Linked DNA regions of Caenorhabditis elegans. The protein of the gene in region 2 purifies or fractionates together with the protein of the main gene of each other region. This does not show direct contact. Each region holds a gene or a part of one and is shown on either strand. Other genes may lie near its edges. The genes, in order: nop-1 and clec-64.

Region 1 (16,511 bases), on a different chromosome or scaffold from region 2:
GTTTTCACCTTTGATGTTTCCCAACTTTAAGATAAATTAATTCCAGAATGCCATTCAAGCCTGTGGAGCACCCAAAATGCCCGAAGTGCGGCAAAAGTGTGTACGCCGCAGAGGAGATGTCCGCCGGCGGATACAAATGGCACAAGTTCTGCTTCAAGTGCAGTGAGTTTTAAAGAATTTAATAATTTAATAGAATCTCTTAGTGAATAAGAAATAATGGTTCTGTGATTCCCTATTCCCCCCAAATGCTTCATGTTAACTCGTCCTTGTATTCGTCTTGTCTTTTAATGTGTTTTTGTCCTATTCAGGTATGTGTAACAAATTATTGGATTCAATGTCATGCTGTGAACATCAAGCACAACTCTTCTGTAAGCAGTGTCATTGCAGGCGATATGGGCCAAAGGTATGCAATTTATTAATTGGAAATTAAAGCTAAAATAGTTAGGCCTAGGCCTGCCTACCGCATATTTTTTTACACTTTGAAATGAACTCAGATGTCGTGTTATATTAACGCATTTTACATCACAATTAAAATGTTAATTGGAGAAAATCGAAGAGCCACAAGACTTTTCGAGATTTAAATTAAACGTTGCTCAACATTTCAAACATATTAGTTAGAATAGAGATTTGGCAAGTCTCGAAATTTTGAAATACATTTTTTGCAATTTTCGGAAGATTTTATGAAAAAAAGAAAAAATAGCATAAAGCTGGCTAAATTCAATTATAATTACAGGGAATCGGTTTCGGAATCGGCGCCGGATCATTGACAATGGATACTGGAGAACAATTTGGAAATACTGAAGTTGATATGACGTTAGTCAATGTTTCATGTTTTAAAACATGTTTATGTGTTTTAATAACGTTAATTCCTCCGCAAATTCCCTGCTCAATGTACTAACCATTTCTTCAATCACAGAGCCATTTCTATTTCTTTTTCTCTAAATCTCTCTTACTCAATGAATCCCTCTTTCTCTCACAGACATGTGCAACAAGCTTCTCGACTCGTGCACTGTTGCTCCGCATGAGGCAGAACTCTACTGCAAACAGTGCCACGGACGCAAATTCGGACCAAAGGGAGTCGGATTTGGACTTGGTGCTGGATGCTTGACAACTGATTCCGGAGAAAAGTTCGGTGGATCCAAACAGACGTAATCGAAAGAAAAACATTGTTATCAATCTCAAAAACTCGTCAGGGGATAAGGTGTCGGATAGTTGTGGTGTTATTGGTTTTGCAGTTACTAACTTTTAGAAAAATTAACTAAAATTAATTTATCGACACTATACTTTAATAATGGCAACCATGACCTCGGGTCCTGGCACGAGCGAAACTTTTCAACTACGATAGGTGCGAATATCTCGCAAAATGCTCTTTTTTAGGTTTTGAATAGTTTTTTATTTCCAATATATAAACTAGGTATATTAAAACTCTCCAAAAAAAACCTGAAGTACGAAAAATATAGTTAATATCGGTGTAAGATTGTGAAATAAAATAATAAAAATCTACACTACTCGCGGCTACGGTAGCTAAAAAGTCTTGATCGTGGAAGGACCCGAAACCCATTTTTTTTCAAAACAACACAATTAAATGTGAGAAACCCTTATATTTTTACTTTTGTTTGTGGAACTTTCATATTTTTCACATACGTTCACCTAACGAACAACTAACCCGGCGTTGCATCAATCCTAACATTTTTGTCTTGAAATAAGAAAAATATTAACAAGAATACGGTATTTCAAAGGATCTTTAAATCACTTTGGGCGACAAATATGATGTATTGAGTACTGTACAAACACCGACTAAAATGATCATGATCAACGCTCAAAGTTTTACTTTTATTATTACCTAACTTTTCAGGTTTTTAATACCGTAACAATGTTTTATTTTCATATTTCCTGATAATATTTAAAATTAAAATTCCAAAATTTCAGCAATCGTCCTATGACAGCCGAGGCATTCACCGCACCAATCAATCCTTCCCATAGCTGAACTTTCTCTTTCACTTTTCAATTTTTATTCAATTTTCTATAATATTCCTCAATTGCTAAAATTTTCAACTTTTTAATTGGACATTTCTCAATTATTACTATTATTATTATTATTATTACTCTAATAATGACATTTTCAAATAATTGAATACCCCTGGTACTTTCGTTCCTACTAATAAATATTGTTAAGCTTCAAATTGTTAAAATTTCAAAAAATAATAATTTTATTTCAGAAAAACAAAACAAATAAAAAATTAAAAAAAGGCACTGAAAATTATCACAACTGAACTCAAAATGCGATTAGAATTTTCTTAAATACACGTTTGTGATCCCACACAATGACCCGATGCAAAATGCAAAAATTAACCAAAAAAGCTAAAAACTGAAATTGTGTAATTGAGCGAAATTAAATTAAATTTTCAATTAAATTCAAAATCTCTGAAATTATCCATTCTCTTACGATCTTCAATTGAAAGTTTTTCGTTGGAAATTCCACGACCGTAAACTAAAAATTCAAAATACTTGTATGAGACAAACTCGAATCCGATTGGCTGGCTCATTGAGTGTTCGTGAGCAACTATGAAGTCGTGCTGAAATTTTTTTTTAATTTGAAAACACACACACATATTCAAATGAATTTCGTATAAAATAAAATCAGTTAGCATGAAAACGTTTCTTCCAAATCGTAAGTTTTAAAAATATTTTTTAACCATGAATTTTGTATTTACTGCAAAATAGATATTAATATAATTTCTCTAAAAATAGTAACCAACCTGTTCAATTTTAGAGGCTGTGACAAGAACTGTATGAATAACAATGTGATGAGCTGTCAATGAATGAATAAATAATCTTGTGCCACATGAAGTCTTTGATGCTCTTGTTCGTAGACCTGAACATTACTTTTTCTTATTTTATTTCTACATTAAATTCTCACTCATAACAATTCTATCATTCAATCCCTTGTGCCAATCATCAACAGTCCCCACTAAATCAACAGCTCCATTTCCTTTTTCTTCATAAATTGAAAGACGATCATCAGCAAATCCAAGAAGTAGATATCCTTCAGCTCTTTCCATTGAGGTTACCGAAGATGATAGTTTCAATAATTGCATTCTTTCACTTTTTAGTTTCTTTTGTTGATGACGATCAAGATCATTCCAGATTTGAAGAGTTTTAGCACAACTTACATAGCATCCCATTGGTCGACCGTGAAAGCAGATCATCTGAAAATTGACAATAAAATTGCCTAATTATCAAGACTAAATGTCTCAAAAATTCAAAAGAATTACCCACATTTTGAACATTAAAAAGAGGCTCAATTTGAGCGATGAACTTCTCCTGAACATTAAAATCGTGTTGTCCAGTGAGGAGTGCCACGTATGTTCGAATAGCCTTATCAGCAAATCCAACAGCATAACGAAGTTTACATGGAAGTTGACGGTACTGCATACTTGGATCCAGAGACACATTTAGTACTTCTATCGGATGTCCATTCTCATCTTCAGCTCGTGATTCGCCAAGATCGTGAAGACCGATAAGGCTTTCTGGAATCAAAAGTACAACTTGATCGTTTATAAAATGGAAAAGGGTTTTTCAGATATAATACATAGTACATTTAAACATAGTATTAATAACAGCTATTTAAAACAAAAATAACGACAAGATTACTTTTTACTTTTAAAATTATTGTTAGTAGATTTTGAAGTTTAAACGGTTTTATGGTTGATTTCAAATTTTTATATGCTTCTTCTAATGAGAAAAAAGGAAAGTTTAATAAAAATCAACTATGAAAAATCAACTTTAAAACGAACCTTCAGCATACTGCAAAACCTTCAATCGAACAAAAGTATCACTTGCAACAACTGCAAATGCACCTCTCTCATCAACTGAAAATGGAGTAACTGCAATTGCATGTGCACCACCTGTATGGTGTGTAACTCTGTGCCATCTCTCTTGATCTTTTTCCGAAACAACAATTTCTGTGTCAGTGCAATGAAGTGCTAGAAGGGATTCCCCAGTTGCCAATAATTTGATACAATTTACGGATCCTGACGAAATAGGATGAGCCAAAATACTGCTTGCCACAACAAAATGTTCATAATTTGATGCAAAATCAAATGATAAATGTAGAAGACCTCCAGTTACACTTCCCAAAATCTGAGAAAAACATTCATGGGAATTGGTATTTCTAATTTTAGGAAGTTGCCACATTTGTCAGCTTCTCGGTTCACTTAAAAGTATTCAGAAATGTTTCAGTATCAAGATTTCAAAATTATCAAAACTAGACAACAATTATGCTATGAATTGATAATTTTCCCATAAGACCACAATCATGGAGATCTAGGCTGCCAGATTCCAAGTTTTCAGTAAAAAAGTTTGGAATCAAGTCTCAAAAAATTGCTCACCATTTGATGTGGTTCAACGAGAATCGAAGAAATACTGTCGAAAGTGGGAAGTTGAAGTTGATTTCCAGCATCCAAGTACCTCTTTTCTCTGAAAAATATAACTATAATATTAGTTGCTCGAAAATAAGGCGTTAAATTATTGTTTGGGAAATCATGAAAATTAAAAAGATATGTTTTGGCGTTTGTTTGAAACTTTGAAAACTTATTATAAAACAAAATAAATACTGGAAAATCATGCTTATGGGAGGTAAACTGAATGATAGAAGTGGGTGGAGGGAAAAGTTGGCGATAAAAGTTTAGTTCAAGTATAGTACGTTCCTACCCTTTTCCAGCTTTTGGGCGGTTTCTGTAATTTTAAATTGGGGTTTTTTTCATTTTGCGCGCAGAAAATTAGTTTTTATAATTGCTGAAACAAGTTTTACCTGTAGAAATACGTCGGGAAAACATTATTCTGATCTGCTACGTAGACACCTTCAGCGGATTTCATTGCACAGGCCGCAGTGAGACACGTGGCAAATGATGCATCCAAAGAAATGGAGGCCACTCTGAAAATTATGGAAAATTTTAGAGTAAACTTTGAAAAAAAAAAATTACATTATGTATAGTTTAAAAATAGTTTTCGGAATTTATTTTATTTTTATTGTGGCAATTTTAATTAATTTTTCACACTTTGATACTTTCCAAAATAATTTGAAAGTCTTACCGTTTCCCCTTGCGTGGATAAATGGCCATCGTTGTAAGACCCGAAAGACAATATAAAGTGATATCTCGGCTCTGCGCATCCAACACAAAATGAGTGAATACATCCTTTTTGTCACCTCGATGCTCAAATATATTCTGACTAATAATCAATCTCATATCCTTTGCTGCTTCTGAGCAACCATTTAATTGATCGATTATCTGATCAATTTTCTGTTCCCATACATCCGAATGTTTCTTGATTTGATCACTATTCACTTTTGCAATAAGTTCTTCCACTACCATTTGTTTCTCTTCCACAGCAATCCAGCTTTTCCCAATAAGATTCTGATTTCCAGTTCTTTCAACTTCTTTGCACAACTGTTCAAGTTTCTCAAGCTCACTCAGCTCATCCACCAGAAGACTAATCATTTGCTCAATTTGATCATTCATGTCAAGTGCGGATTTTATTATTGTGATCAGTTTTCGGAGAGAAGTCAAACGTTGTGAGACCCGTTCACAGCGAATCTGAAATTATGCTTTGTGATTTGTAATCAAGGGTGTCAATTCCCGTTTCCCGTTTTTCCCGTTTTCCCGTTTTTAAAAATTTCCCGGGAACGGGAATTCCCGTTGTCCCGTTTTTCAAATTTTCACGGGAACGGGAATTCCCGTTGTCCCGTTTTTCAAATTTTCACGGGAACGGGACATTTTCCCTCATTTTTTGGTTTGTAGTTCGTTGTTCCAACACATCGCAACTTCTTTTTGTGAAGCATGACGTCACGCATTTTGCATACTTCGAAATTAGTATGACGTCACCCGTTCGAAAAATGGTGTTGCAATTTTTCGAGATTGAAAACAAGAAAGTGATTGTAAGCAAAGTTGGGATTGTTTCATAAATATTTTAGTATTAATTAAAAACCTACAGATTGATTCTTGAACTCAATCTTCAATTTGGCAAAATCGTCGTTCGTAGTGTCTCCTTCGACAACTTCTTCCTCTGCCACTAACTTATCAGACAAACTCTTTGAAGTAGTAAGCATATCTTCTCTCCGTTGTTTTTCAGTATCCTCGAATTTTTGAATTCTTCCAATTTCTTCAAAAACAACATCCAAAAGAACGCTTAAATTGTTTCGATTCACTGCGACTCTCTTCACTAGAAGCATATCATCGTACTGCTCATGAACCACTCCAACCCGTACAAAACCATCGTAATATGCCACGTGGAGAAGTCCCGAGTCCCTCCAGAGAAGTCCACTGGTAATTGGGCGACTGAAAAAATTAGCATTTGAATAGATTAATCTTGGTCCCTGGATATGTGTGAGATTAAATTTTCAACAAGCCCCTGATATCTCAGGGATAGTACATAGATTGCATGAGATTAATTCGATATCAGGTTAGTGCTTAGAAATTCGGTTGCCGCTAGGTTACTGTAGGATCGAAAGATACTCTTTACAATTTTTAAAATTCTAAGAACTCACTTGCATCGGAAAGCTTGAATACATTGAAAGTGTGTTGATGTATGAGCACAAAATGAATAATGGAAGATGCCGGTCTCTAGAAGAAATACTAGAAGAAGCTGAAAATATTTCTTTCTCATTTTTACTGTTTATTCCCTTATTTCTAACCTCAGTGTTTGAATGCTTCTCTGCATTTACAGCAATAATCTTTCCAGGTAGTTTCAGAATTCTGCTCTTGGAAACCGTCGAACTCTCGAATAATTCAACAGATTGCACAATTGACACGTGGTAGTCTCCATTGACAATGACATCTTCGGTTCCTTCAATTGGTTGAATTAGTCGGACGACGTCATTTGATCCGAACACCACGACATTTGTAACTCTGACAGGGAGACATGTATGTTGTGATCGTTCCAGTTCTAGTGCATGAATTACTTCAATGTCTCCGCCGCAACCTAGATTATTTGGTAAATTTGGATTTTAATAGAAATTCAATGTACCTGACAGAAGCCTCCCATCATCTTGATGCCTAAAAAGTGCGCCTCTAATCCTGTACGATGGATGCTCCAGGGCATACCCAGTCATGGATCTGTACAATTATTTAACCTTATATTGAAATAAATCCTAGGACATATCACAAATTTCTATTTTAAAGTAGGTTGTGTAATTCTTGGAATCAGATTTCAAATATTCAATTAGTTAAACTATTTTCAATTAATAAACTCACCGTTGTTGAAAATCTTGATGCGAAGTTGTAGATTCAATCATACCCTGAATCATGGCAGATATTAGATTTTAGTAATAAAGTTTTGAGAAAAGTAATAGCAACGCAATTAGTTTCTGATGAACGAAGAGAATAAGAGAATCGGTGGGATATTAAATACTACAACATAATACGCCAGAGACATGGTGTCGAAAAGAATTACGATGAGTGATCGGAACAGTTACGGACATAACACACTTATACAGTGAGGAATGCAAAAAGTGTATCGTCTGGCTTCTGACTAATTTCGATGGGGAAAACTTGGAAACTTGAAGAACTGAAACAAAAAGTGAAGAAGGTTTGAATGTACAACCATTTCTCTCTCTGAACACATTCTATTCTTATCACTGACAACATATCACTCCCATTCGTTTTATCAATTGGTGTGAATAAGTGTTTACCGTTTTTTTTAGTTAAACAACTTTTATATTCTAATAGGCAAACAACTAAATAGTCATAAAAAAGTAGCGGCAAATTTAACAAACTTGCAAGTTCCAATAGCAAAAGTTTCTTTTAAAAAATCACTACACGTAGGCCCAAACTTACATGCACATGTCTTGACCCTAATGAAAGCGTTCCCCTACTGCTCAAATTCAATTTTTTTTTAAATAATTATTTTAATTTTTAAATCTGTCAGTACAGAAAGATTTTACGAGGGTGTTTTTCAGGAGAAATTTTTTTTTAAATTGATTTCAAAAAGTTTTAATGAGCGCCTCAATTGATGAGGTATGTAATTGGAAGTACTCAGGAGCTGCAAATATTTTTAAGTAACGTGGCTACTTTGCAAAATGTGTTCAAAATATGACAAACAACATAAAGTTTACAATAATGAAGACATAACTAACTAATTGATTGTTGATGTTATCTTCAAAAAAGAATTCAATTGGAAAGATCTATTGAAAAGATTAAAATTCTGTCAAAGTACTTCTACAAGGTTAACCATTTGGAAGAAGAATGTGTAAACCATTTCCGAAAATCGAACAAATGTTTGTTTGATAGCGAGCAATACCTGATGGTTAAGCTGTACAAATAATAGAGTGTAGTAATGTGTATGTACTAGTTCAAAAGGAATTATTTTTCATTCATGGTATTAGATGTTTAATTTGAGATTGTTTTATCCAGTTGTTTCAAATCAAACGCAATATTCGAAATAGTTTAAATTGATATTTTTTCAATATATTGGGAACATCACACAGATAAGTTTGAAAGTGGCTCGCGGCGGGTTATTTTTAATACACACACAACAAATTTCTATCAGCCTCCTGCCGTTAGGCCTGCCTACTGGAGTACATCTGAATATAGCTTTGTTTCAATTTCCAAAAATTAAAACGGAGGTAAGTTTACACATATTAACACTCAAAACAGAAAATAGGCGGTAGGCAGGAGCGTAGGCTTGAAGACGTACCTGCTCACCACGCCTAGTCTAGTTAAATGTTCAAAACTCCTCCAAACTAAAGAAATTTCAAGACAATGCTAAAAGTCTGAAACTACAGTACTCAGTTTAGATTAATATGTTATTGTGGTTGGCCTGCCAAGTTTCACTAGATATTGGAAACAATAACAGACTGCGGGAACAGCAACAAAAATAAAAAATGAGATGAACAAAGAGAAGAGAGAGTCTAGGCTTTGGAACGATTGAAGAAGAGGGGCAAAACACGTAATGAGCAAGAACAATAAGAAACAACGAAAAGCACCCGTCGATGCAAGAGAGTTAGAGGAACAGCGGCGGCGGCGGCGTTTTTGAGCTCCCGGCGGGAAGAAGAACACGAAGCACGGGAGGAGAGAGTAGTAGGATCAGAGACCCGCAGACACGTGTGTATGGACGTGTTCACAATTGATTTTCGATGCAGACGATGGGTGTCGAGAAGAGATGCAAAAATTATGGAGAAGCAGTTGAAAATAGTGTGCACTCTTGAAGAGTTTCTAGGCAGTCATATTTGCAATGTAATTGACAATTTTTTTGAGATCGGTGAGAGGTTGAGAGGGGTGAAAGAGAGCGAGAACTGTTGGTTATCACAGTGACTATCAGGTCGCAACAAAAAAAATAGAGATAGATAGAGGGTGAAGGGGAATGGACGGAAGGTTTTGAGAAAGTTTAGTGGGGATTTATGACCAGGGTTATCGGAGAATAGAATCAGAATCACTAAGGATAGGCATGACCGTATTTGTCGGTGACTGATTGATGGGATGGTCAGAAGAAATGGGATTTTAAAGGTACAGAAGATGAAGATGTCAATTGATGGCAAAGATCATCGGTCATACCACAAAGACATATGTGCCTTTAAATTGCAGGGTTACTGTAGTTTGAACAAAACCTCTCAAAATTGTTCACTATGAAAGTGTGACCAAATGCATTAAGATATGTGGTAGGCGTCCTCTGCCTGCCTGCGTGCCTACAAGGTATGTCTAAATTGCCGTGATGATAGTCTACTTTGTCGTGAAAGATATTAAAAGACAAATAGTTGCGTGGAAGGCTTAAAGGTGCTGGAGTAGCGCCAGTGGGGGAAACGGTTTAAAATCACCTTTAGTGCTAACAATAAAATGACTGAATATCAAAGGAATGAGCTTTCATACAATTTTACATGGGGTCATTTATTTTAAATGGGGTCCTTTAGATTCGCCCGCTTTCTATTCTTTCTCTCATAGTCAGTCAGTTTTTTGTATACAAAAGGTGAAATTGAAAGGATTCGTTTTTATAAGCTTCCGCCAGATGGAGAATCTCATTCCCGAAAAGATTACACATAAAACAACTGGAGTGTATTTGTATGTGTTCGTGGAATGAAATGAATTAGATTGACATTTACATAATTTGCATCTTTCATATTATTTGTGTAGTTTGAATTGATTGATGGGTTTAATGAGGATCAGGGATTTTATTATTAGAAATACCTATTTTCTAATCAGAAGTGCTTCTTTTCTAATTAGACCCCCAACGTGGTTGTCTGAGGAATCAGTGAAAACTAAAACTAAGTACGCAGAGAACATATTGAAAAAGCCCAAAGATATACTAAGACGCGGAATTTTGTGCCAAAAGTACGGTACCCGATCTCGACATGACACGTTTTTGTTAAATAAGAGAATTTTCGTATTTAACAAAAAATGTGCGCGCCATTAAAGATTACTGTCATTAAAAACTTTCGTTGCTGCGGAATTTTCTTTGATAAAAAATTTTTCTCTTGATTTGTTAAAGTTAAAACTTGTTATTCTTATATTTGAGTTTTAATTATATTTTTACCAAAAAACTGCGTGAATTTGATGCAAAGTCCGCAATAACAGAAGTTTGAAGTTACAGTACCCTTTAAACTTAAATTTAAAGAGTACTGTAACTTCAAACTTCTGTTATTGCGAAATTTGCTTCAATTTGACATACTTTTTTGATAAAAAATTTTTTATTTTTATTTAAAGATCTGCGCATTTTTGTATTCAACTAAAATCTATCGCGTCACCGTATTTTTGGCGCAAAAAAACCCGTAATTTTCTTCATAATCAGCGAGAATCCCATAAAACAAATCTCGGTTAAACCAGGATAAAGAAAACAAATAATAAGAGAGAAGGGTGATAAAATGAACTTGAAGTGATAAATGCAAAGGAAATAAGTGAGAAGAGATGAAACTTATGATATCAGATTACCTATCTCTTTTTCAATTTATCTTCTGCACTTTTTTCGTGTGCTCACATTTTTGAAATTCAAATATTCCGTTGATAAAATTAAATTCGTGGAATTCGGACTTCCACGTGGTACACTCACAACAGGTGGACAAACATCGAATTGAAGTGGATGAGAAAAGAAGAGCCGATGGACACAAAAATATTTCTTTCTCTCATTAGACACTTGTTTCTCTTTTTATCAATTGAGACAAAGATAATAAAATAGTATAGAAGATTAAGAGACGCAGAGTTATCTCAAATGATCGATTGATCAACCATTGAGCAACAACTAACCGGTCCATCCGAATTGGAATATCGGATGGAAAAGTTGAGAGATGAAATATTTTCTTTTTTTTTAATTGAAAAAATCAATTCATTCACCTCGTTTTTGCAAAACTCCAAAAATGAAGGACGTTTCATGAAAATCAAAAATTCCTCAAAAAAAAATAGTAAGCCTTCACACACTTTATTACAAAAAAATACGAACAAATCGAGGGAAAGAGGATAGAAACATCAGGGGCATTCTATTCACAGTAATCCTCAAAAAGTGAAGAGAAAAATGCAAGGATGAAAAGGTGTAGAGCTTAATTTTTAGATAATAAAACTTGCTATGAAAACACAAAAAAATATATCAACCGTTTTGAGGAGGAAAGAGAAAGGTAACATGAATTGAAAGAAATTTTGAAAATTGACGAGATCGATAATACATTTAACAACAAGACACACATTTCACAGCTCAAATTTTAGCTCCAAACACAGTTGAAGTGCTCGCTGTGGATTGAGTGTCGAAATCATCGTTTGAACTTGCCGGCCCATCAGATTCGGAGATTGCAACCGACAGTTTGAGTTCATCGAACTTGTTGCGTAGAAGGATGACATTATTTGGAGTCACCCCAGCGAGAATACATTTTCCGTTCGGCATCCATCGTTTTGTATTCATTAATATTCCATCGAGCATCAGGAATATTGCGTCGATGGTTCCTTTTGAATCCCATTCCTCTTCTGATTGGCAGAACATTGGATAAATGAGCATTGTAGATGATTCTCGCATTTTTGTGATCCTTTTCCATTCTTCAATCGACTTGCACAAGCCACTTCTAACATTCCGAAGGTGATCAAGGTTGATGTCAGCTGAAATTCAAAAAAATTGAAATCAACATTCAATTGAGAATATTTACCATTAGAGGAAACCGAGTCATTAAGACTTTTCAAGCTCGCTTGTGGCTGCTCAGGCATCACAAACACGAGCTCCGGTTCGTATTCGGTGATTGATCCGCAGCGATCAGGTCGATAATTTGACACGATCTCCTCTTTCACCCTTTTCGAAAGTTCACTGTCCATGAATGTGGCAGCAGTAGTGGAAACTGAAATATGTCAAATTAGAATATGAGGATCGTTATGCAATAAAATGTTGGCTTACATGGAGATCCATCTGCCTTGATATCAACAGCCACGACATCAAACTGCAAATTCTCGCTTTGAGAAGTGTCGGAGGACGACGATTCAGTCTGGAAAAAATTGTATTGAATTTATTCATACAACTCGGATACAACTTACGAGTTGAGTTTCAAACAACTCATCCATTTCCAACTGCTTCTGCTTTTTGACTTGTTCAATTTTTAATTTCAGAAGCTCTCCTGCTGGAACATCGGAAATGATAATACGGTCCAGAAGGCGTCGAGTGCGTTCTGGAAATACATTTTCTATAAACAGGATATTTGAATCATTTGGGATTACCTTTTTTGCCTTCATCATCACGCCTCGATCCACATCTTGATATGCTTTGACCGGATCTAGACCCAATCGTCCCGTATCCTTGATCTGATGTTCCACTGGCTATACTTCCGACTCCAGATGAAATCGACGAATTCCCAGTGAGCGTATTGCGACGCGACGATTGAGAAACGATTGGACTGGGAACATACTCATTCAATTTCACTGTCGAATTTGAGCCCATTCGGAAAACTGAAGAAATACGTTGCGACAGATTAGAAGAAGATGCCGTTTTCTTTCGAAGCTTTGGTTGCTGAGGTGATTCCGTCAAGTCTTTCGGATTTTTGCTCGCAGAATCATTTACAGAGAGTCCGCTGACAGATGTGAACTCGTTGAAAGAGACTACAGATGCCCGTCTTGATTTTTTGTCCATATACTGCTCCGACGCTTGGTTGTTGTCACTCATTCTCCGATCCTTCGATTCACTTTTTCCTGGGAAGATTTTTCGGAAAATTGAGCTCCGGCGTCCCTGAAACTATACATTACACTCGTCAAAGACGCTTCGATATCAGAAAAAACTCACAATGCTAGATCCTCCAACACCAGAAGCTCTTTCGGACGTCGTCGAAAGTCGTGACATTGAGCATGTCCCTTCATCTGCTGAATCATTGTGTGATGTGACATTGTTGTCAAAATATTCCTTAGCCGCCCCGAACACTTCTTCGTCTTCTTCAGCAATTGGAGCATCAACACGAATCTGAAAAAAAAGTGGTAACGAATAAATAATGTAATTTCAATATAATTTTATTCTTACCGAACTATTAGAGACCGTCAATGCTTCTTCTTCTGGTACATCTTCCATGTTTTTCGAAGACAAGTTCCGTTTCTGAATGGACATCCGCATGGAACGCCGCATCGGAGTACCACCACCTTCAGATTTTGAAGTGGGAACTCGACGAACAGCGCTATTGCAAAGAGATCGGAATAGTGCTGGAGGCATATCATCTTGGTTTTCAGGAACACTTCTAGTCGACATACGTAATCCATTTCTCATCAATGGATTGCGACTTGGAGTACAAAAAACAGAGGTGGATCCAATGGAAGCAGAGTCTTCATCGATAGTGTGGCAAGATCCAATAGACATTCGAGATTCAATCTGAAATAAATGTTTGCGAAGTGGATTTTGCTATGCTTTTCTCGTACCGAAATCGCATCATCCATCTTTGAAGTGAATTCCAGTTTCGATGAGCCTATCTCTGGCAATATGAAAGTCACACTTTCACCGTCTGGAGGTGGAACAGGTGTGAATGAATCCCTATTGACAAGAGTACGAAGCATCGCATTCTTCGCGACGTTAGGAAACTGTGCACTGTGACAGGATTCCACGGAAGTGATGCTTGATTCACTGGTGATTGAAAGATGCGTCTCATTCGCTATGGTGTCCATTTTTGAAGATGAGGCAGATTTGTTGGTGCTCTTCAAAGTAGTGGAGCTCTTCACCTTCTTGAGAAATCCTTTGAAAATTGAAGATCTTCGGTTCTCGCCATTCTGTTCAGATTTCTGAAAAAAAAACGAGTTAATAATACATCTAAAGGGATTAATAAATACCTCCTCGAACCAATGTTTCTCCTTTTTCGTTTGGTGATCTGCATGATCACGATCATCGCTCTGCAAAATACATCAATTAATTTGTAAATAATTTAAATTCAAACTTACGTGAATGTCGCTTTTTCGTTTCTTCGGCGCCGACATGCTGAAAAATGGGTCGATAATTGAAGGAGAACACTTTTTTATTTGAATGACGCGGTAAGCGGGACAATACCGCAGCTGCTAGGCCAACCAGCGCAATGGCTAGTCCACACTTACTCACAGCCATAAGAATGAGAACAAGCGACGTATTGTGAGTATTGCTAACAAGTTAGTAAGTAAGATAATAAGTTTGTTTTTTCGGTCGAGAGTTCGGTTCGGTTCGAAAATTCAACCACTTTTCCAAAGACGAGACTATTTGAATCTTTTGATTAAAAGGTATTTTTTAAACTAATTTTAATTTTGAACAAGCCGAGAAAAAATTATGAATATGCAAACGATTGAATTATTGGATGGAACAACAATTTAATTTACAATTAGCAATCTCTCACAGATAGTGGCTCTTGTTTTGAAAATTAAAAACTTACACTTCTTCTAAAGCGTGTAAATCGAACGTGTTCGACGTCGTTGCCTATTTTCGACTCCGAAAATTTGAGCCCGTTTTTGCTAGAAGCGATGGAACACAATAACGTGAGAAACGTGAGAAAATTGCGAAACACAAAAACAGTTTTACTACGGTAATCGTAACGAGACCCGTCGACTGAATTAATTAAATTTCCTTTAACTTTCTTGTCGTGGCAGGACACTTGCTTTGATGAACTCTGTGCGCCTTGAAAGTTTTCATCATGAATTAATTCGAATTTGTACAAATTTTTTGCGGCTTTTATTTTCTTGAATATAGTTGTTTTCTAGTTTATTTTTGCAATTTTGACCGGGTTTTTAATTAAAAAAAACATCGATTAATAAACCCGATTGCAGTCATAAATGTTTAAATCATTCAGCTTCTGTGAATGTTTTTTTTATTTTAATTCGACGCGTTCGTTTTCTTTCCGGTATCTCCTTTTTCTCTGTGCCCTCTCTACTTTCTCTAACCACTCAAAGACAGAGTATGGAAGACGCGACGCGTCTCTCCGCGCTGCGTTCAGCCGCGTGTGCACCCTTTTCTATCGATCCGTTCATTTTTCACTAATCTCTTTCTTTTAATAAACTATTTATTTTAATTTTGCAGAAGGAGAATAACAAAAAACCTTCTAAAAGATGAGTGGTGCAAGGAGAGACAACAGGCGTTCAAATGGTCGTGATGATTCATCAAGAGTTGCAAAAGCGGAAAACGATCGCAAACCAGGGAGGGAAAATCGCGGAGGAGATGAAAAGTAAGTTTTTCTTTACATATTTAGTTGGTATTCTGTACAATTTATATTTTCAGGCGTGGAAATTCCAACAATGCAGCTCGCAGTGGTGGCGGAGGTGGAGGCAACCGCGGTGGAGCCGAACGTGGAATTGCTCCGGCTCAACAGCCGTACGACAACAATGGAGGACACAGAAGCGGTGGTGGTGGTGGAAGAAGTGGTGGTGGTGGAACTTCTTTCAATGGAGCAGCGTTCACTGAGTCCCAACTGATGGATGAAGTTCCAAAAAAGAAGTTCACTGGAAGATGTCGGCTTTTCGTCGGAAATTTGCCAAATGAAGTTAAAGAAACCGAGCTAAAAGAACTTTTCTCTCCACATGGAGATATTGCTGAGTGCTATTTATCTGGAAAAGGATTTGCGTTCTTAAGACTGGTTAGTTTATTTAAATATTTTTTAAAGTTGCATTTACACCTCTCCTATCTATTTTCACTAATCGCCGCGAAGCCGAGGTTGCCAAAAGTACACATTTAAATCGGACTCATTGGGTACTCAAATACTATCAAATGCTGAAGGACTCATTCTCGTAAACTCAAAATTAGTGGACTCCACCATCTCTATGTGTATTTACTCGCTGTTTCTAAACTTCAAATTGCAACTCAACCCAATGTATATCTCAATCGTAACTTCTTCCTGTGGACTCGTGTTTTTAAAAATATCAAAACTTGTGAACTAATTGTAAAAATATTTTCTGTGCTTGGTTTACCTCGGCAACGCGTTTTCAGATTTCTACGGTCCACAGAAGTTTGCATCTACGTCAATTATTGTAGAAAATCCATCTCTTTAATTCAAATAGTCTCCTGTTGAAAGAAATAATTTTGTTACTTTCAACCAGCAGGTTCTGGAGGTCCTATAACTTTATTTTTTC
Region 2 (15,322 bases):
AGTTGTATAACTATCCCCACCAGTGTTTACAGTGATAATCGTAACTCCAGTTGACTTTAGGTAATCCGTCAAGTCTTCTGGATAGGTATGATAGTAGCTGAAATAGTACATAGACTACTAGATAGGATACTCTAGGTAACATACTTATACTTGGAGGTGAATAGTACTACAACCTTTTTATAGTTGTCTCGAAGTCCTCCTGTAGCATTGATCATATTAATAGCCGCTTGAAGTCCAGTATCAATATAGGTCTCATCGGCGCGGGAGAGTGGTGTAACACTGAGCGCTTGAATTTGACTGCTTAGATCGGAGTAGGATTGCAACTTGTAGAAGTCTGCTACCTGAAATATCTAGTTACGGTACTTTTCCTCCTGTTGAACACCTTGCAAATTAACTGTGACTTTATTAAACTCACATCAGTCGCATTCCAGTTATAGGTGATAAATCCGACTCGGGTACTTCTCGGGTCATCATACCCAGTTCCGATTTGCACGAATGGATTGAACAAGTTTGAGATTGTGTTATATACATTATACAGGTTCATATTTTTAGAGTTGTCCACCACGAATACAATATCCAGCCAGAGACGGCTCAAGTCTGATCCGCATGATCGATCGGTGACTGCTTGGGATGGTGAGGCGGCTGGAAAACTTGGAAAATTAAATGTTTTCTCTTCATATTTTTTTTTTTGAAAAACCCACCCAATGCCAGCAAAAATAATGTTAGAATCTGATGCATTTGCAGACGAATAATTTCATACGAAATATATTCACGCCAGGCTCTTTTATTCGCAATTTCCATTGCTGATAAGAGAAACAAATGACGATTGGAGGCAACATGATGATTATTACTCACTAACGAAAAGGTTTTGCGCTTTTGGACGGGGTGTCTGTATAGATTGATGTTTTAACGTAAAGGTCATTTAAAAATACTGATTAGCGGTTCTCTGGTAGTTTGATCACAAAAATCTTTTTTTTTTAATATGTACTCCTGCTGGAGTACATATAAATTTTAATTGAATTCATGTACTTGAAAGTATGATAGATATCCTATTTTACAAAAAAAAGAAAAGAAAAGTAATGTTCTACTAATTTACGAGCACCTACATTTTTAGGTGTTTTGCTGGATTTATAGAAAAAATTTTTTTTGCCAAAGTGGATTCAATCTAATTTTTTTTGAAATAAAACTTTGTATTTTTTCTAATTTTTTAATAATATCGGCAAATTTTGACATCGCTTTATAATTGCCAGAATAGAAAATTTCCGGCAAATCGGCAAATCGGCAAATTGCCGGAATTAAAAATTTCCGGCAAAGCGGCAAACCGGCAAATTGCCGCTTTCCCGAATTTGCCGGAAAAACGGCAATTAGCCGAAAATTTTCGGAAAAATTGATTTTTTTTTATTTTAAATTTCAAAAAGACACAGTTTTAAATGCTTTTGTCTTATAAAAAGATCCCTCTAAATATTTCCAGCAAATCTGATATCCGGCGAATCGGCAATTCGGCAATTTGCCGAAAATGAAAATTTCCGGCAAATCGGCAAACCGGCAATTCGGCGACTTACCGGTATTAAAAATTTCCGGCAAATCGGCAAGCAGGCAAATTGCCGGAATTAAAAATTTCCGGCAAATCGGCAAGCAGGCAAATTGCCGGAATTAAAAATTTCCGGCAAATCGGCAAGCAGGCAAGTTGCCAATTTGCCGAACGGCAATTGCCGCCCACCCCTGATTTCGCACGACTACATTTCTTTGAAAAGTTATATCTCGGTTTATTTGGTTTTGATAAGTACATTATCTCAGAAAAATGAATGGTATAGGCTCGATGATATTTATTGTCCTTAATAATTTAATTTTCAATGTGCTAAATATTCAGAAATTTAAAAGCAATGCGATTAATAATAACTTTATATTTTCTCCACAATTTTTCAAACACCATCACAATAATTATCAGTATCACAAGCGACCTGCTCACAGATGAATCGGAAGTTATTCGCACAGCTCACCGGAGTCCACGCGGTCTGAAAATCCAAGTCTTTCTCAAGCCCTTGTTCTAAAAAAGTTAGCCTTACAGTTCCATCTGAATACTTCATATCAGCAACACAAGCGTTGCGAGTTGGTGGAGCTCCAGAGTTGGGGTCGAGCTAGAAATATAGTTTATAGTTTTCAAGCAAAAAAAATACACAGAAGTGAGTACCGGAATCGGTGATCTATCGTTTGGCTGATCCCAATACCAGTTACCATTGAGATTTAATAGACCATTGTAAAATGCGTTGACCGGTTTAGTGGAGTCGGAATTGACCAAATCTTAAATTCATATTTATTAGGGGAACACGAAATTCTGAGAATGTGTATTGCGCAACATATTTGACGCGCAAAATATCTCGTAGCGAAAACTACCGTAATTCTTTAGAAGAACTACTGTAGCGCTTGTGTCGATTTACGGTAATCGGAAATCATTCATTAATCGAAAAAATATTTTTTGAAAAACCCAAAAATAATTTTGAAAAAACGAAATACTACAGAAAATTCAGAATCGCGTAAATCGACACAAGCGCTACAGTATTCATTTAAAGGATTACTGTAGTTTTTGCTACGAGATATTTTGCGCGTCAAATATGTTGTGCAATACGAATTCTCCGAATTTTGTGTTCCCGTATTATTTCAAAAAAAAAGTCACGAAAATTCACTGAAATTGAAATCCCGCTTCTGTTGATCCAACTCATTCACCAAATAACTCTTCGGACTATATTGTCGACATTTGCTTTTTGCGCCATCTCTACTGGAATAATCGGTTGTGTCAGTGTAAAGGCAAGTTCCGTAGCGATTTTGAAGGTTATTCCATGGATAATTGTATTGGACCCAACCTTGTTCGCAGAAGCAGTTTGCTGAATAACGGAGAAAAGTTACGTGGTGTAAGGCTGCCTCGTTGCGGTTTGATCTACGATAAATGCGGGAATTTTTCCTTCCAGAAAAATGTGACGTCAGCACACTCTTAACCATGCGAAATAAGTTGAAAAGTCTGTCATTTCTCGAAGATCAAACCAAAATGGGACACTTTGGCACCACGTGAGCTGGACCTTTCAAACTTACTATCCGTCATTGCTTTCAAAATCTCTTGGGTAACATTTCCGTCGGCAATTGCGAAGCTCATATTGTCGCTGGCAATCTGCTTGAGATACGCCTGAGTATCGGAACTTGACCCAGTATTCACAGTCACCACCGGGATCCCGCGGCTTTTAAGAATTTTCGACACATCACGAGGTTGATTGCTTTTATAAGATCCATGAACCGATGTAAATACAATTACAATTTTCTTGTAATTGTCACGAAATCCCGCGGTCGCATCAATCATTCCGATTGCGGCGTTAAGACCTCTGAAATCAGATGGCCTAGATTTTTAGATTCCAAAACTCTGCCACCACTTACGTATCCATTCTGCTAGCTGGGGAGCTTGATTGTGGAGTGTATTGGAGGCGCTGAATCTGACTGTTCAAGTCGGCCCAAGATTGAAGTTTGTAGAAGTCTGCGACCTGAAACATTTCATTTTTAGTGTCTCACTCGTACATTAACTATAACTTGAAACTCACATCAGTCGCATTCCAGTTATAGGTGATAAATCCGACTCGGGTACTTCTCGGGTCATCATACCCAGTTCCAATTTGCAGTTGCTTGCTGAACAGACTGGAAATCGTCTGATAGACAAGGTTCATACTTCCTATTTTGCAGTTGTCAATGACAAATACCACATCCAGCCAAAGTTTGTTGGCGTTCGTGCCGCATCGTCTGTCACTGACGGATAGAGTTGGCGATGCTGCTGAAAGTATATTGACCCGTAAAAAACAGTCCTTAGAAAATCTTACCCAGACAGAGCAACACAAGCACTTTCCACATGGCGCTGCTGAAAAATGAAGAAGCAGTTTCGATCGTCTTTTAAACTTTTTTGCAATGCAATCAGTCTCATTATTGACATTTGATAATGAGTATTAGTTTGACATCATTGTGTGGTTCGACTTTCTGATAAATTAAAAGGCATGTGTCTTCAAATTAACTGTTATGTATATTCCCTATAGTTATGAAGAAAAATATTTCTGTGTCGGCATTGATTCGGATATTGTTTTACGAAACATTAGTGGGATTTTATACAAAATAGGCACATATTGAGGTCCCGAACACCATTAAAGGTGGAGTACCGAAATTTGAGACTTTGTTTTTTTAGACCCAAAATGACCCAAAACTACCGAATTTCGTAATGAGACGTTTCGAAAATTCCTCGAAAAAAAAAGTTATGGAGGTTCAAAATTATGAAAAAAAGGCTAGTTTTTTAGCTAATTGTAAAATCAAAATTTTTGTCAACTTCTCGGTGTCACAGCATATTTAATTTAAACTGTTTAATAAATATTATGTTCTTTTATTAGGAGTTTATTCGTTGATTTGAGTACATTCAAGGTCTGTGAGACACAAAAATGTAATTTTTGTTTGTGCCCCACTGGCCGAAAAAGGACTTAAATCAACGAATAAACTCCTAGTAAAAGACCACAATATCTATTAAAGAGTGACAATTGAATCAAAAATTAAGTTCCAAACAATGTTATTTTAGCTGAAAATAATCCTTTTTTCTAGAACTTTGAACCGCCATAACTTTTTTAAAAGAAATTTTCAAAACGTTTCAATACGAAATTCGGTTTTTTGGGTAATTTTGGCTCCAAAACAGCAAAGTCTCAGATTTCGATACTCTATACTACCTAAGTACGATTTTCTGAAAATTGGTAAACTTCGATAAGCAAACTAATTCAAAATACATACATATATGTACAATAAATTCAATCACAATATTTATCAGTATCACATGATGCAACTTCACACATATAATTCTCATTTTCTCGGTATCCATTGATGTTTTGCCATCCGACGTCTAGATTCGAGTTATGCTGATGATTAACGACAACGGTGTTGGTGAATGGGGTGTTCGGATATGTTGGATTCCAATGCGAGTAACTTCCATTTTGCTGGAATTACAGTATATTGAGTTGCCAGACAGAGAGGAAAAATAAAGCTAAAGCTGTTATACCAAAATGAGTGGGTGTCCTTCTGGCTGCTGCCATCTCCATGCTCCGTTGACATAGCTCAACCCGGTGTGATAAGCGTAAGGTTCAGTGAATTCAGCATTGTTCAGAGCTATTCCTGGAATTCTAAATATTGTGCAAAGTCTTTGGCACTGGAAAACTTGTATGAATGACTCACTGAACAAAAAATCATGCTTCCGATCATCAAACTCGGTTACAAGGTAACCATATTTAATGCTATTCTGGCAAGCGATCTTTGCACTTGCCCATGATGCAGTTATAGTTTCGGCTCGGATGCAAATTCCAAATTTATAAGACTTCTCGTCGTCATAGCTTGGCCTGTATTGAATCCAAGTTCTTGGACAGAAACAGTTTGCTGAAATCAAACCATTTTAAATTTTTTGTAAAATTCCACCACTAAGAAAGAGAAAACGTACTCTGAAGAGCGGCTGCCTGAATTTTGCCGACCAAATTGGGATCTCTAGACTTGAATGACATATTTGGTGATGCGATTTTTGAGAGCTTGCTCAGTAGGAGCCCATCTCCATCTGGGTCAAAAGCGACGGTTGCGATCGCTACTCCAGATGATCTCAGACGTTTTGCAATGTTTAGGGGGTCTTCTCCATCTTCTCTGGAAAAACTTTTTTTTTCGGCAAACGACTTTTCCGGCAAATCGGATCAAATTGCCGGAGTTGGAATTTTTGTCAAACCGGCAAACTTTCGGAATGAAAATTTCCTGCGAATCGGCAAATTTACCGGAATAAAAATTTCCGGCAAATCGGCAAATTTTCAGCAAATTTCCGGAAAATCGCAAATCAGCAAATTTCCGGCAAATCGGCAAATTTCCGGAATAAATATTTCCGGCAAATCAGCGAATTTCCGGCAAATCGGCAAATTTCCGGAATAAAAATTTCGGGCAAATTGTGGTCTTGCACATTTTTTTTTTGGAAATTTCAGAATTTCAATTTTAATCGGCAAAAATGTACGTATCCTATGAATGTTTCTACATCTATTTTGAGTAGAATGCAAATTCTATAAAAATATATTAAGAAAACGGGGTAAAATTTCAAAAAGGCAGAGTTTTATGTGTTTTCATCTTAAAAAAAATCGCTCTAAACATTTCCGGCAAACTTCCGGCAATTTGCCAATTTATCGAATTTGTGAACAAAAAAATTTGCTGAAAATGATAATGATATATTTTCCGGCAATTTGAAAACATGCAGATTGCCGGAATGGAAAAGTTCCGGCAAACCGGCAAGTTGCCGATTTGCCGAACTGCAAACCCTGATTCAAACTACATACCGTTTGAAACGTTTATGAGTTTTTCTTTTCCAAATATTGGCAAGAAATTGTATATAAACTAATTTTAGTTTAACTTTCAAAAAACAAATCTAAGCTTCTACCTGTAAGCTGAAGCATAAACCACAACCAATCGATTATAATTCTCTCTAACTCCATTCATCCTTCCATTGTAAAGAACACTCTCAGCCATCCCAAGCCCTTTCGCCAGGAACGAATCATCAGAGTCACTGACCTCATTGAGAAACGAGAAAAGCGTCTGATAGACGTCATCGGCCGACTGAAACTGATTCAAGTCAGCGACAACTGTAGCCTCACTATTATAAGTGAGTATGCTAAGCCTGGTAGATCTTGGATCAGAATAGTCCGTTCCAATTCTTGGGCCACTTGCAAATGTGGTCGCAATATTGGCTGCAACTTCTGTGATTCCTTCGTTTGTCATGCCTTTCGAGTTATCCACGACTATAACGATGTCTAGCCAAAGGTTATTCCAGTTACTTCCACAGTTGCGATCAGTTGAAGCTTGGGTTGTTGCAAAAGCAGTGAAAATGGCAAGTAGGTTTAGTAACATTGCTGGAAATTTTGGAGCTTCATAGCTTCAGCTTCATATACCGAAAAACTGTAAAAATGCATTCAAAATAATTGCAGTAAGTTTGAAAACCAATTTTCAAAAAAACGCCAAACAACAGAAAATTGACAAAAAGCAGGCATGCAGGCAGATAAATAGGCATGTGTGCGTGCCTGTTTTTCATGAGAAACCAAAACATGCCTACCTGCCTGAACAATATGGAAAAAAGTAAACTTGAATGTGGAAAAGTAAGGAAATGATGATATTCTGAAAATAATCTTTTATGAGTTTTTTTTTTCGAGGGATTAGCATTTCCACACGGGTGTGCACACATTATTTGCTCAATGATAACGAAATTTAGTGATTTTCGATGCAATCGAATTTGTAATTAATTTTAGTTTTGGGTAGGTGAAAGTGAAAGGTTAAGAGCTTTTAACATTTATATTTTTGAGAAAATGTTGATTTTTTAACGGGGTTCTGGCCTTCCTCATTACATTTTTCTCGCTCCATTGACAAGCCGGACAACGGGTGGGATAGTCGTGTACTCTACACGGACAAATGCATTCAGCTTTACAACTAAAACCGAGCCGCGACGCGCCGTAAATCTACCCCAGATATGTCCGAGCCAAAATGGCCTAGTTCGGTAAACTATTGAAACTTGAACACAACTTTCAGTCTGTCTTCTTTGTATTTTGTAGTTTGATTTGCGGACAACACAACTGTGAGGGGATGAATCTACAATATAAGTTTTACTACACTTCAGAAATTATTTAAACAGTATTATATTTCTTGATTTTTTCCATTCGACAAATTATTTTAATGTGAAAGCAAATTAAAAAAAAAATTCATCATTAAAGCCTTTATACCGCAACAGGAACCTTACAAAAAAAATTAGTGTAGCTAAATTAACAATACTTGTCGGTATCACAGGAAGCGACTTCGCACATGTAGTACTCAGCAACACTGTATGCGTTGATGTTCTGCCATCCAACAGTGAGATCCGAGCTGAATTGCTGCTCAACGACTCCGATGTTGCTGGTGAAGGACTTTGGATAGGATGGGTTCCATTTGGAGTAGCCGCTCATCTGAAAATTGATTAGGCTTATCATCCGAACAATGTTCAATTTTTCGTTATCACTTCTAGTGATTTGATCTTTTTCAAGGTTCAATACGACTATCATCATCTTACATCATTACGTGACAACGGCAAAACTTACTGGCTTGAGTGGGTATCCAGCTGGTTGCTGCCAATTCCATCCTCCGTTCACATAACTCAATCCGATGTGATAGATGTATGGAGCTTGGAAGGCGGTGTTGTTCTGGGCGACTCTGAAGAGGAAGTTGTGCTTCTGTCCGTCGTACTCGGCGGCGAGGAATCCGTTCTTGGCGAGGTTCTGGCACGCGAACTTGGCAGCGGTCCAGGATGAGGAGATGGTGGCGGGGCGGATGCACACTCCGTATTTGTAAGAGTTCTCGTCGTCGAAGTTCGACTTGTATTGGGTCCACAAGTTCGGGCAGAAGCAGTTGGCTGTAATTTTGAAATTTTATGTATTGGTAGAACAACTAAGGATCTTACTTTGAAGAGCAGCTCCTTGAAGTTCTCCAACCAAGTTCAAGTCCTTGGAGGTGAAAGCGTAGTTTGGCGAGGCGATGTTGGTGAGTCCGGCGAGAAGAGCCTCATCTCCGTCCTGGTCGAAGGCAACGGTGGAGACAACGACTCCGGAGGACTTGAGACGATCGGCGACTGGAATGGGGTCGAGCTCGCCTTCTCCCCTGAAACGTAGGAGTGTGTAATTACTTTAAATATTTGGGTGCTCTCTATTTTTGTCTGATCTTCAGAAATTCCTAAATGCTCCCTTTACCGAAGTTTCCGCAGAGTTGAAGGATCCAACAGAAGTACGACGTTTTGGTTGGAATTGATGTAAGCTTAAATTTAACCTAAGCTGTAAGCCTAAGCTTAGTAAGGTAAGAGCATAGGTTAATTTATAATCCGATTCGACCATGCGTATTTGTTCAAAGTTCTAGTAATCGCATCAAAACCCTCTCAAGACGAAATAGATGAATTTTAACAGACAAGAAAGAAAGTATTCTACGTAAGTTCTTACTTGTAAGCTGAAGCGTAGACAACGACGAGTCTCTTGTAGTTCGATCGAACTCCATTGGTTCTTCCGGATTGGAGCACATTCTCTGCGGCACCGATTCCTTTAGCCAGGAAAGAGTCGTCGGAGTTGCTGACCTGGTTGAGAGTAGAGAAAACCGATTGGTAGAGGTCGTCGATCGATTGAAGGAGGTTCAAGTCAGCGACGATAGTGGATCTTCCGTTATAGGTGACAAGTCCGAGTCTGGTGGATCTTGGGTCGGAGTACTGGTTTCCGATTCTGGTTCCGTTTCCGAAGACGGTGACGATGTTGGCGGCGATTTCGGTGATTCCTTCATTGGTCATACCCTTGGAGTTGTCGACGACGACGACAACATCAAGCCAAAGGTTGGTCAAGTCTCCACCGCATTCACGGTCGACATTTGAGCCCCCTGGAGTTGGTGGTGGTGTTGATGGTGTTGGTCCTTGTGTTGCTCCTGTTTGCCATGATGTAGTGCTATCTTGTGCGGAGGCAAGAGCCACAAGGGTCAGTGCCAAGCTCACCAGTTTGAACATGGCTGAAAACATAATAATACTAATAATAATATTAAATTGAATTTGTTTAAAAACTTGAAAAGAAGCCAACTAACGATGAGAAAATGATGAGAACTGCTTGGGAGGGGGCGTATTTTAAGACAATTTTCGTATGCTCCCCCATCACTGATAACACCTTATCACCAGGAGGTGCAGCATACATTTCAAAACCGATGGCTATTAAATTTTTTAGAATTAAAGATAGCAGGAAGGACTGATGGGTGTTGTTAATTGAAATTTCGTGTTGAAAAGTTTAAACAACCCCACCCAACTAATCGACTTAACTGAAAATTTTTAGAATGTTTGTTTATAATTTGAACTTGAACTTTAATTAGATTTGGCCTTTAGCGCAACTTATCGTCTACCAAAATGTCACCAGCACCTTTTGATTAATTATAACAATCTTATGTTAGTAAATGACGTTTGCGGGCTTCTTATCATTACTGAATTTGTCATTCATTTTCAAAGTAGTTTTTTAATTGATTTTTGTTTGTGACATCAATTAAGTAAAGTTCATCTTCAGATGCTTATTGGGCTTCTTCTACTTTTTCTGCTCTCCGTCACCTACGGCCAGGTGCCTCCCACGGATAGAAACTGCGGTCATGACCTGGCGAATCTCTGGTTGGACGTAGTCGTTGTAGTCGACAACTCGGCTCCGATGACACAAGAGGGGCTTACAGAGGTTTGTTTTCTCTCTGAAATCAATTACGAAATTGTTATCAGGTGGCTGCCCAAATTGTGACAGTGTTTGGCGCTGGCACGAGGATTGGGACGAATTATATCGATAAAAGGACAACCCGAGTTGGATTGGTTACCTACAACACTGAGGCAACAATTGTAAGAGCGGGAATCGCAAATGTTACCTGGGCTTGGGGGCCTTTGCCTGCCTATACCAGCACGTGATGTCAGGCTGTCCCATTACGTTTTGATCTACAAAAAATGCGGGAATTTTTTGCCCAAAAAAAGTGACGTCAGCAAGTTCTTAACCATGCGATATCAGTTGAAAACTATGCGTCTCTTCTCCCGCTTTTTTTGTAGATCTATGTAGATCGAGCCGAAATGAGACACTCTGACACCACGTGAGGTGTGCGATGGAGCACCGTTCCTCGCTCATCACGTGATGCCAGAGTGTACCATTTCGGGTTGATCTACCATAAATGCGGGACTTTAGACGCAGACTTTAGAACTGATTTCACAGCTTGCTGACGTCGCATTTTCCTGGGAAAACATCCCGCATTTTTTGAAGATCAACCCGTGATGGGACAGCCTGACATCACGTGCAATAGTGTGAGCTCGGACTTAAATGGAGCAAGTCTGTAGCATCATAACAGAACCTAACTTAAGTTTTAACCAAGTGTTTTCAGCAAGCCGATCTAAATCGCTTCCAGTCGCCAGATGATCTTTTCAGCACGGTATTTCAAATTCTTCCGAATGACCTGAGCACTTCAGAAGATGTTTTCCTAGCGAAGTGAGTTTTTCATACCTTTAAACCATTCCAAGTCCCATGATTTCCAGAGGAATCGGAGCAGCTGAGCAACTCCTGGCCGCTGGTCGCAAGAACAACACTCGCAAAAACTACAAGCAAATGGTGATTGTCTATGCATCCGCTTATAATGATGAAGGTGAAGAGGATCCTAGGCCTATCGCTGAACGGCTTAAGGCGTCTGGTGTTAGCATCGCAACTGTCGCTTTTGATCAGACTGGAGATGAAGAGATGATCAAGCTGATTGGAGAAATTGCGACGCCGGGTTTCAATTTTACGAATGAAGATGAAAATCTGGTTAAGGAAATTCAAACTGCAATGATTCAGAGTAAGACTGAAAATTCCAAAAGTTTTTTTCCAAAAGTTATCGTTAGCTAATTTTTTCAGCCAACTGCTACTGCTCAAACCTTTGGACTCAATACCGAGAAACATTCGAGGACCCTCATTCTTCAAAATTCGGAGTTTGCCTGCGCCCGGTGGCTCTGACAGCTGGCTGGACCCCAGCAAAGTTTGCGTGTCAGAATATGATCCAGACGGGGTACATGGTCACCGAGTATGATCAGAAGAAGCATGACTATGTTTTCAGTAAGTTAAATTAGATTTTTTTAAAGGTTCGAGGTGCATCAATTGTTTTTTTTTCATAACTTGTCCGCAACGACACTTCATTCCCCGAGCCCTATGTGTATCACATCGGACTGAGCTATGTGAATGGAGGATATGCGTGGCAACAACCTGTGGGTCACGCGTTGGTGCCGGTAAGTCCCTTCCCATAATCTGCCAAAGTTCTTATCCCTGTATCAGTTCCAGCTTAACGATAGCCTATGGAATCCAGGATTCCCTACACAATCATCTACGACCACCGCCGTCCTCAATCAGCAATCCAGCAGTGCTTTCAGAGTGGGATGGCAGAATGTCAACCAGTATACGGTGTCCGAGAGATATGTTTGTGAAGTTGCCGCGTGTGATACGTCTACATATTGTGAATAATGGAATTAATTACATAAGTTACAGACATAATTCCATTTGAAATCGGTTATAATTGAATGTATACTGTAATGAAATTCAAAGCAAAATATTTTTACTTTTTTTCACGGGGCTCTGGTCTTCCTCCTTTGCATTTTTCGCGCTCCATTGACAATCGCCCGCCGGACAACGCGTGGGAAAGTCGTGTACTCCACAACTAAAATCGAGCCGCGACGCGACACGCAACGCGCCGTAAATCTACCCCAATTATGGCCGAACCAAAATGGCCTAGTTCGGCAAACTCTTCCATTTCAATGTACGAGGGAAGCCAGATATCCGTGTTTTTGTTTAGTGTTACAGTGCTCCAGTTAATCACGGTTACGAAAATTTCCAAAATTTTCAAAACTAGGACCCGCGAGGTGTCGGCCGCTCTTACAAAAAGAACAGCAGTTACCCTATGTATTCTATGACCACAATATGACTAACGCCCCAAACAGGATTTGCGACACTTTTACGACTCTCGGCGACACAGTTTTTCTCTCCTTCCGGTATTATGTAATCATAAAACAGGTAAGACATTTTGTTGAAGAGCCATAAAAGTGATGCGTGTGTTTCATGATAAACATAACAGTTGCGTTGGAAATCATGAAATGATAGTGTAATGGAATATCGAAAGTTTTGCAGTAAAGTTCACCTGTTTGAATAAAAGGGGGAAAATATGCAATTCAAACGGGACACGGGGTTCTGGCTTCCCTCATAAATTAAAATGGTAGAATTTAGGCCGAACTAGGCCATTTTGGCTCGGCCATATCTGGGGTAGATTTACGGCGCGTTGCGTGTCGCGTCGCGGCTCGGTTTTAGTTGTAAAACTAAATGTATTTGTCCGTGTGGAGTACACGATTTTCCCACGCGTTGTCCGGCGGGCGATTGTCAATGGAGCGCAAAAAAGTGAGGGGAACTGTACCTGTTCCTGAATACCTCATATGTAGTGATTTAATAAAAGCAAAACATTTAAAGCTACAAATTTTTACAATTTGAACAGGCTTTATTATTCAGGTTCAAAAATATTCAAAAATTAGTAACATTTACGAATTTGTTCATACTCTATTAATTACCGATCTCAATTGCCACTAATTTCAAATTTTGCGTTTTCACCAAATTAATGGTTGATAAGCTGATGGAACGTCATTGAAAATTGGAGAAAGTGGATTCTGAATTTTTTTTTATATTTTACAATGTGATACGGGCTGGTCTTGCTCAACAAAAAACTCTACCTTTTCCTCGTTGCTAGGTACAGCAGGATTTTGGCTGAAAATCTGAAACAAAACATGTTTTTTTTTGGATTTTACTTGAAATATTATAAAAAAATGTTACCGGTGGCAAGTTGACTGGTACTTGTTCGAAAATTGGCTCCTGAAATCCAAAAAAGTTTCATAAAATAAAAGTTCAATATCAGAAGGGCACTCACCAGGCTAATCGTAGTAGTGAGAATAGGTGGGTAGGTGATAGGAGCCTGAAATTAACAGCAATTTTTAAACTTCAGGGATCAAGTTTATACCAAATTGATGGTGGTAGTAGTTGGAGCAGGCGGATAGGTTATGGGCGGCTAAAAGTAAAAAGGTTGTTGTGGCAGGAGTTTGCTCAAAAATGGAAGACTTACCAATGTGGCTTTTGTAGTAGGAGCCGTGCTCACACCCGATATGTCTTGAGATGTTGGCACTGTTGAAAGAAGTGTCGACTGAAAATTTTGTTATCAGAAAGCGGCCTCCAAATATTAGTTTACCAATGTGATAGTTGATTCTCCTAGAGTTGGTCCGGTAGTAGTAGGAGGTGATGACGTGGCAACTGCAGGAGTTGACGGGGTCACAGTAGGATAGTTCGTAGTTACTTGTGACCCACTTGATGCAGAAGACGTGAGACCTGACGAGAACGTTGAAGTTGGAGCTCCTGAGGTTACTGTAGCTATTGATGCCGTTGGTGATACGGTAGTCGACGCAATTGTGGATAGAATAGTTTGGGACGTGGCTACGGTAGTGAGGACACCTACTGTGGAAGTTGGTGGAGTTATGGATACTGTAGTAGTTGGTGACGTGGCGACTTACTGTAGTTACTCTGACTGGTGTAGAATCAGGAGACACTGATCTAGATGTGCGTTCAGAGGTGCTTTGGGATTCTGATACAGCTGAACTTTGAGTGAATGTGTTGCCAACTGTTGCTCCATCCTCAGGACGGGAGCTAGAAGGACTTGAACTTGAAGAGGTTGAAGGTTCCGATTGTATAATGGCAACCTGAAAAATGACAGTTCTACAGGAGGCAACACAAAATTGAGGATTTCCGTAAGGTACCACAAGATTTAAGGATTCCAAAAAATTTCTCAAAAACTGTGAGAACTACAGTAACCCAGATTATTATTTCTTGAAGGATGACTTTCACTATAGCTACAGTAATACTACAGTACCATCCCCGACAACAGTAGTATTACAGTACTCCCGTCCAAGGATCTCTAGCTTCTATAAACTCCTCACCGTTGCTGTGGAAGCCCCCATCGCTACCGTCCCTGATTCCAACACGGCTTGACCATCTTCTTCCTGAAATTACACAAATATTGCCTGCACTTCAACTATTTATCATGTGAATCATTCCAAGAACAAGAACACGTTTCATTTGAAATGGACAAAGGACAGGAAATTAGAATTTAGAAATGTCTCCCTCCTCTCACTTTAATATATCTTCTCTTTCTGGCCGGTGCACGTTTGTCCCCGCTCTTGTCTTGAAAAAATATATAATATTTTTTAATGAAGTTATAGTCGAAATCCTAATCCTTACCGTCTTTTCGTCTTTGTTTTCATCAGTCTTCTCTTCCTCGCTGTCTTTTGTCGGATGTTTGCAGATCTAGAATTATCGAGAAAAAAAAGTTCGGTTCTGAATTTTTCGCATACAAACCTGCTCCGTTGTGGCTTCCAAATTAGTGCTACCCTATAAGAAAACTAGAGTTTGGAAGATACTTTTTACAGGAAACTTACAGTCTGATCTACACCACCAATAATCGTAGCAGAAGCCTGAAAAACTATCGAAACTTTTAGTATTTATATAAAAGAAAGTGTACCGTCGCCTGGGACGCTGGATCGGTTACTGTTTCCGCCTGGTCCTGCAAGCTCAGAAGTTTTTTTTGCAAAAAAAAATTTTACTTAGACTTACCGTATGACCAGTTGGTTCTGATGCCTCCGTAGTATCACAAGGCTCCTGCAACAACAAACGGGTTAATACTGTGGATTTGT

What was found.
Region 1: the proteins of clec-64 (region 2) and nop-1 fractionate together in Caenorhabditis elegans (co-fractionation; one large-scale study listed by BioGRID). This does not show direct contact.

The regions. Positions count from the first base shown.
Region 1 is NC_003281.10:5,957,199-5,973,709, reverse strand, and holds nop-1 (Pseudocleavage protein nop-1), read right to left. Parts: upstream 14,989-16,511; 5' UTR 14,825-14,988; intron 14,404-14,824; 5' UTR 14,403-14,403; coding exon 14,367-14,402; intron 14,319-14,366; coding exon 14,259-14,318; intron 14,211-14,258; coding exon 13,854-14,210; intron 13,807-13,853; coding exon 13,465-13,806; intron 13,408-13,464; coding exon 13,234-13,407; intron 13,186-13,233; coding exon 12,675-13,185; intron 12,626-12,674; coding exon 12,495-12,625; intron 12,446-12,494; coding exon 12,358-12,445; intron 12,302-12,357; coding exon 12,116-12,301; intron 12,069-12,115; coding exon 11,674-12,068; 3' UTR 11,388-11,673; downstream 1-11,387. Other genes in the region: mlp-1 (Cysteine-rich protein 1), read left to right, coding at 48-162, 309-403, 734-813, 1,930-1,987; Protein dct-6, read right to left, coding at 2,406-2,576, 2,760-2,875, 2,921-3,209, 3,280-3,530, 3,798-4,143, 4,392-4,479, 4,714-4,737, 4,814-4,936 and 6 more; nono-1 (RRM domain-containing protein), read left to right, coding at 15,495-15,610, 15,664-16,018. UniProt on the Caenorhabditis elegans protein: Required for formation of the pseudocleavage furrow during the first cleavage of the embryo and also mediates aster-induced furrowing during cytokinesis.
Region 2 is NC_003280.10:12,889,898-12,905,219, reverse strand, and holds clec-64 (VWFA domain-containing protein), read right to left. Parts: upstream 6,979-15,322; 5' UTR 6,931-6,978; coding exon 6,464-6,930; intron 5,692-6,463; coding exon 5,498-5,691; intron 5,437-5,497; coding exon 5,239-5,436; intron 5,179-5,238; coding exon 5,066-5,178; intron 5,004-5,065; coding exon 4,818-5,003; 3' UTR 4,781-4,817; downstream 1-4,780. Other genes in the region: clec-66 (C-type lectin domain-containing protein), read right to left, coding at 1-97, 145-341, 416-642, 702-801; clec-65 (C-type lectin domain-containing protein), read right to left, coding at 1,923-2,015, 2,067-2,138, 2,192-2,301, 2,685-2,882, 3,088-3,371, 3,424-3,527, 3,585-3,811, 3,858-3,888; clec-63 (C-type LECtin), read right to left, coding at 7,833-8,012, 8,145-8,455, 8,504-8,700, 9,033-9,580; clec-62 (VWFA domain-containing protein), read left to right, coding at 10,122-10,280, 10,322-10,435, 10,963-11,066, 11,114-11,409, 11,469-11,666, 11,724-11,836, 11,883-12,068; F35C5.3 (Flocculation protein FLO11-like), read right to left, coding at 14,760-14,813, 14,871-14,936, 14,988-15,020, 15,068-15,103, 15,151-15,192, 15,243-15,287.